Linked DNA regions of Ovis aries. Each later gene encodes a partner of the first gene's protein in a complex. Links are inferred from orthologs where the notes say so. Each region holds a gene or a part of one and is shown on either strand. Other genes may lie near its edges.

Region 1 (3,833 bases):
AAGGGGCATCATCTGCCTATTCCATGTATCACTCTATATGTCTGGCAAAATTGATTTCTGCTGGTATTTTCTGTGGGTATTTATAACTGCCTTCAAAGATTTAAATATGAGACTCTTTGGATATTTTCAATTTGTCTTTTTATCATTCTCAGTAGTCTTGTGTGCTAGTCACAGTGGAGGATGTATTTTATATTGCTGTTGCCTACAAATATTATTGTAATTAAAATATGAATATTTATACCAACATTGGAAGGAAATACTGTATGGTGGATCAGTTAAAGAGTTTTTGGCTGTTCTAAATCTAGATCAACAAAGCATTTATGGTAAATGATGAAAATGACCTCTGTTTTGTGTCAAAATGTGTGTTATGAAATTATTAATCCAGGAAATGGTTACTACAGATGAACCTGAGTCATCTCTCTGGTTTCACCTCTGGGAAAAGTATTGCATAGTTTTTTAACAACTTCTAAATAAAGATTAATAATATAGTCTAAGCATAGCTTTAGTTTTCTGAATGCTCTTTATAACACAGATTTGCTTAAATATCAGTAAGCTTTAAAATTATTCATCTCACAAGGAGTTGAATATGAAACACAATTGAACTCCACTGCATTGAGTTAGCTTCTTTGCCAAGATGTAATTATGATTGTTCAGGTCTTGAAATCTTTTCAACAAATGAGTATAGAACTGTGAAGCCACAAGTTGGCATAAGTAGATATACCATTCTTCATTTTGCATCTCTTTAAGTAATAACTAGGAGGCACAAGTCTAACATAACTTTAAAAAGTATTGACCCCATTTAATATGGAGACAGGAAATACCTGGAGAAGAAACAGTTTGAAGCTAGGATTGATCTCAGAGGGAGAGCCTTGAAGAGACATGAGCGGTCCTGAAGGGTGGGGTTCCCTGCCTGGTTTAAACCTGGGTAACCTGGATGAAAACCAAGAGTCCTAGCGACTAGACCACCAGGAGTTAGAGGTAGAAGCATAGTGGCCCTGGCTCTTGCCCCTATTTGAAAGCAAGAATGTTTCAAGGAGGGAAAAACTGTAATAACAGGTACAAAGTTTATTGTTAGAGACATAGCACAATGTGTGGGAAAGCATACAGGAAAACAGTTTGTTTATCTAACTCAGAACCAGGGCAGAGATACACACCCAGAGGAAAGGGGTATGGGCATCCTCTCTAGTGAGGAGGAGGGCAGTATGTCAGAAGCTAGGCAGAGAGACACATGCAGAGAGGAGTTGGAGCATCCTGAGTGAGGAGGAGCTCAGTACAGAGGTGATGTAAATCACTTATATAAGACAGTCTCTCTGGGACTTTGTTTACCTTTGGCCAATTACTTTGTTTCTTTCTTCACCCTTGGCTGGTCCATGGACCCTCCTCAAGATGTGTGAGCAACTTTTCTCTAAGGTGGATCCCACCTCAGAGGTCTATGGTGCATGTCCACACTTATGGGGTGGGTTCCCCTCCCTTTTCAACCCCCAAGAAGCCTTTTGGCACATATGCAAACAGGAAGTCTTCCTTGACCTCAAGAGCGAGTACTTTTATCTCTTTGCTTTAGCAGAGCTCAACTTTTGCCACTAGCTTTGTCTTTGGAGGGTCTGGGTTAGAACAAAAGCTCAGTTTTACTCCACCTGACAAACACCAGGTGTCTGGCCCAGAGGCACATTGTCTCCTACCTCAGGATGATCTCTTTTGTTTAGCTTGTAATAATTTGATAACTTAATCTCTTGTGACCTGATATCTTAGATCTTAACTAAACTTCAGAAATCTTAACTAGACTGTCAATAACCTGTACTTTGTATTTCACTATTTTCCATACAGCATCATTTGATAATATTCATAACTGATATGTTCATTTTCTAAATCAAAGGGAATTAAGCTTAATTTGGACTTTGGAAATTTGGGGTCATCCTTTGACAACTAAAAATAATACAAAATGTTTGAAAAATTTGCCTGGTTACTCTTCATTCTCTTTCTTTCATTAAAATGCATTCAGTAATGCATATATATGGAATCTAGAAAAATGGTGATGAACCTGTTTGCAAGAGCAAGAATAGAGATGCAGACATAGAGAATGGATTTGTGGACAGAGTGGAGAAAGGAGAGGGTGGGATGAATTGAGAAAGTAACATTAAAATATATACATTACCATGTGGGAAATAGAAAGCTAGTGGGAAGTTGCTGTGTAACACAGGGAGTTCAGTCTGGTGCTCTGTGATAACTTAGGGGGGTGGGATGGGGGTGGATGAGAGGCAGGCTGAAGAGGCAGGGGATGTATGTATACTTACATACATTCTGCTGACGTTGTACAGCAGAAACCAACACATTGTTAAGCCACTAAGAACTAAATATATATATTACATACATATAAAGTTTTGGAATGTGTTCAAAATTAAAATAATTAGCTAAATAAATGGAAATATCTACTTAAAAATTAATTATCTATTGGTTGCAAGAATGCAGGAATACCAAACTATATGTAGTATATTGAAAGTGACTCAGTAACATTTATTTTTATCTTTTAAAATATCAGAAATACTAGAAGAGATTTCCATAGTGGCTAAGATTAATTGCCACTTTATCATTTTATTTTGGTTCATCAAATTTTTTTTTTTATTTCAGAAAAAAGTGGCAGATGACCCAAATCGGACTCCATCTATATGGCTGGCAATGTACAGAGCTTTTGGGAGACCAATTCTACTTAGTAGCACATTTCGTTATCTTGCTGACTTACTGGGTTTTGCCGGACCTCTCTGTATTTCTGGAATAGTTCAGCGTGTAAATGAAACCCAGAATGAAACAAATAACCCAACAAGAGTAAGTTTGTGGTGCCTTTGAATGGAAATATATTATTGACAAATTTCTTTTAATCGTTAACTTTTTTAAAATGCAGTTTTATGAGCAGTGCAGACAGTCTTATTAACAGAGAATTGAATGCTTTTTAAAAGAATGAAAACTGTAGTTTTCCTTGTAGAGAAAAACATTATGTATTCATTGAATGGATTTGGCCAATGAAATTATTTCTCAGATTCAGAGGCTATAAACATTTAATAGCATTTACAGTGTTCTGCAAATGATGCTCAGGAATTTCACATTGGTTATTTTATTAGATCTTTTTAGCAATCCTGTAAAGAATTTTCATTCATGAGTCCTTGGGGCTGAGTCACTTTTTCCCCAGATGGCTCAGATGGTAAAGAGTCTGTCTGCAATGTGGGAGACCTGGGTTCAATCCCTGGGTTAGGAAGATCCCCTGGGGAAGGAAATAGCACCCCACTCCAGTACCCTTGCCTGGAAAATCCCGTGGACAGAGGAGCCTGGTAGGCCACAGTCCATGGGATTGCAAAGAGTCGGACATGACTGAGCGACTTCACTTTCAGTGACCAGTGAAGTGGGCAATGTGACTTGATTTGGTTTCCTATATAGTGAAAGCCATCGCCTTGTTTCATAATGATCAGGTCAAGTCACATTATATTTTTATTAGACATTATGTTACTACTGGGGACTATATAGTGTAAAATATTTGCTGTTATAAATTTACAACCTTATATTTTCTGTTCTTAAGAAAGTCTGCGTCATGAGCTTCCCAATTTCCTTCTAAAATAAGAATTGATTTCCCTAGTTTCACGTGTAGAAACTCTAGTCCAGATGAGTCAGTTTTCCTTTTTTATGGTCTCAATCTGATTTCCAGTCCTCTTTTTTTACCTATTGGAATTGTACATATTTCTAAAGCCTTCAGTAAATGTTGCCTTCTCCTTGAAGCTTTTTCTGATTGTCCTTGTTGGTGGAATTTGATTCTCACTTTACATTGGCACTTTCCATAAATGCTATTT
Region 2 (2,897 bases), about 170 kb from region 1:
TCAAGACCCTGAATGAGAAGTTAACAGGAACTTTCATTCATCAGTCATATTGTGGGGTGATTTCTAGCTTTGAAACATTAAGCCTTACACTGCAATAAGCTGATTTAACAGAATAGGAATTTTGGTTTCTAGTTAGATTCCATTATGTTCATGTAGGAATTATGTTCATGATTAGAACTGAACTCAGTTGTTGTTTTCCAATTTCACAGATGTTCCTGCCTAACATTTTAGTGCAATTTCCCAATACTATTTCTCCTCATAATATACAATTTGAGGAACAAATAAAATCCAATATTTAAAAATTAATCAGCAAAATAAACAAAAAAGCAAAAAAGGAATCAAGCAGTTTTTGCCTCAAGCTTTGTACCTGGTGTAGTTTTAAAAAGAGAGGGAAAGGGAGGTAGGAAAAACATAGTTTGGGGTCATCTTGTCCATTCTATCCCTTTTCCAGGGTGAACCATAGAAACAGACATCTGTGATGTCACCCATTAAGCATTTCAAGCAGTATCATTTCTTGACCCGCTTTTGTATTCAAGGTCTATTACTATTCTTGTAATTCCTGTGTTTCAAATGGACAGAAATGAGAGCATTTCCTCTGTATAACCTAAGCCTATCACTTAGGGTGATAGGGTGATATTGCAAGGGTGAAGCAAGTGTAAGACAGGAACCCTCCACCTTGTGAGTTACCATTTATTGACACAGAAAGTGCTGCTGTTGGAATATGCATATCATTTAGTGTAATAAGATAAACAAGGACAAATTATTGTGTTTCAGCTCCAGTGCAATCTGTCCATGCCCTGCAGAAACTCTTCAACAGCGGATCAAAGACTTTCTGGGGGTTGTCTTGCTGTCAGGATTCGGAAGTGTTCTGATTTCCCTCGGGAGTCATAAACTGCACCTTGGGCACCATGAGGGAAGAATTGTTCCGGCGGATGGAATTGTTCCTCCTCATGGAATTGTTTCTTCTCATGGAATTGCGCTTCCTTAGAGAATTCTGATGGGACAATTCACTCTTCTGGAGGGTCTGGATAAGGATGGAAGGCTTCTCATCCAGCTCTCGGGCACTGCACCTTGGAGCAGCTACTTTCACGGTGTTGCCGAATTTGGAGTAATCCACAGAATACACACCTTCCTCCTCGGTCACGATGGACACGAAGCGATGGCCCCACTGGATCTCCTCAGCGATGTACGAGGTTCTAGCTTGTGTAGTAATGCCAGTAGTTTCGACCACTCCTTCTAGAATCACGATGACCTCCAGGTCTTGGTTGGCCAGGTCAGTGGCCGAGATATCGTACAAGGGGCTGCGCTTGTCAATCACATGGCAGATGATCAGAGGGGCCACCAGGAAAATGTTATTACTCTCAAGTGGGTTGTCAACAGGAATGTCCAGTTGGTGAATAGGTACCACCTCGCCTTCTGGGGTCGTGGTTTTCTTGACCACTTGGATGCGCACAGAGGCACTGATGATCATGCTTTTCCTTAGGTCCCCCACGCGGAACATGAAACACAGTTTGCCATTTCGGACGGCAATTACCGCATGGCGGCTGAAAATCAAGGTTTCCGCCCTTCGGTGAGCTTGGGCTGTTTTCATGAAAATGCAGCCCAACATGACTGCATTGATGATCAAACCCACAATGTTCTGTAGAATCAGGACTGTGATAGCCAGAGGGCATTCCTCAGTCATCATTCTCCCTCCAAATCCAATTGTCACTTGAACTTCAATGGAGAAGAGGAAGGCAGAGGTAAAAGATCTGTAAGGAATGAGATCAGAAAACAGTGCCATCAGTTCAGATTTTTGAATCAGGAAATAACACTGAAGCTGAATTTTTCATGTTCTCCTTTCAAAGGCTAATTTTTTTCATAAGTATTGTGGATTAACAATTTTGTGTTACTTTCTGGTACACAGCAAAGTGATTCAGTTATATATGTTCTTTTTCAGATTCTTTTCCTTTATGATGGCTATATAATATTGAGTATAGTTCATGTCATACAGTAGGTCCTTGTTGGTTATCTGTTGTGTATATAGTAATATGTATATTTTGATCCCAAACTCCTAATTTATTCCTCTCCCCTCCTTTCCCCTTTGGTAACCATAACCTAATTTTCTACATCTGTGAAACTAGTTCTCTTTTGTAAAGAAGATCATTTGTATCATATCTTTAGATTCCACATATGAGCTATATCATGATATTTGTCTTTCTCTGGCTTACTTAGTATGAGAATCTCTAGGTCCATCCACATTGCTGCAAATGGCATTACTTCATTCTTTTTAATGGCCGAGTAATATTCCAGTGTGTGTGTGTGTGTGTGTGTGTGTGTGTGTGTGTGTGTGTGTACTACATCTTCTTTATCCATTCACCTGTTCATGTCCAAAGGCTGTTAAATACTTTTGGAAACACTAGCCAACTTAATGTATCAAATGCCCTATTCTAAACACAAGCACTTGTTCATTTTCTCTCTTATCTGCATGTATCATTGTGAAATACTTCACTTTCACAAGTGAAAAGTGAAAGCGCAAGTTGCTCAGTCGTGTCCGACTCTTTGCAACCCCATAGACTATACAGACCATGGAATTCTCCAGGCCAGAATACTAGAAAGGGTAGCCTTTCCCTCGTCCAGGGGATCTTCTCAACCCAGGAATCGAACCCAGGTCTCCCACATTGCAGGTGGATTCTTTACCAGCTGAGCCACAAGGGAAGCCCAAGCATACGGAGTGGGTAGTCCATCCCTTCTGCAGGGGATCTTCCTGACTGAGGAGTTGAACCCAGGTCTCCTGCATTGCAGGCAGATTCTTTACCAACTGAGATATCAGGGAAGACCTTCACTTTCACAAAGGCATAGTTTATTTTGTTAAACTCCTTCAAGCCGATGTCTATTATTTATTGCCAAGCTGTGTT

The links.
Region 2: the proteins of ABCC9 (region 1) and KCNJ8 are in contact, whole or in part, in a cryo-EM structure (PDB 7MIT), measured with the Rattus norvegicus proteins. The link is inferred for Ovis aries from reciprocal best matches to the Homo sapiens genes ABCC9 and KCNJ8. Residues at the interface, in XP_038963045.1 of Rattus norvegicus: Phe5, Ile10, Tyr13, Asn14, Ile15, Val19, Asn22, Cys24, Phe25, Ala28, Leu29, Val32, Val35, Phe36, Phe39, Phe42, Pro43, Ile44, Phe46, Ile47, Gly48, Trp49, Gly50, Ser51, Lys55, Gln57, Ile58, Asn129, Phe130, Lys132; in NP_058795.3 of Rattus norvegicus: Met1, Leu2, Lys5, Ile7, Ile8, Pro9, Glu11, Tyr12, Val13, Leu14, Ala15, Arg16, Ile17, Ala19, Glu20, Asn21, Leu22, Leu45, Ala46, His47, Lys48, Asn49, Gly54, Arg55, Phe56, Leu57, Asp59, Ile60, Thr62, Thr63.

What each region holds. Positions count from the first base shown.
Region 1 is NC_056056.1:193,842,380-193,846,212, forward strand, and holds part of ABCC9 (ATP-binding cassette sub-family C member 9), read left to right. Parts: intron 1-2,625; coding exon 2,626-2,820; intron 2,821-3,833. UniProt on the Homo sapiens protein: Subunit of ATP-sensitive potassium channels (KATP). Can form cardiac and smooth muscle-type KATP channels with KCNJ11. KCNJ11 forms the channel pore while ABCC9 is required for activation and regulation.
Region 2 is NC_056056.1:194,012,993-194,015,889, reverse strand, and holds the end of KCNJ8 (ATP-sensitive inward rectifier potassium channel 8), read right to left. Parts: intron 1,752-2,897; coding exon 851-1,751; 3' UTR 673-850; downstream 1-672. UniProt on the Homo sapiens protein: Inward rectifier potassium channels are characterized by a greater tendency to allow potassium to flow into the cell rather than out of it.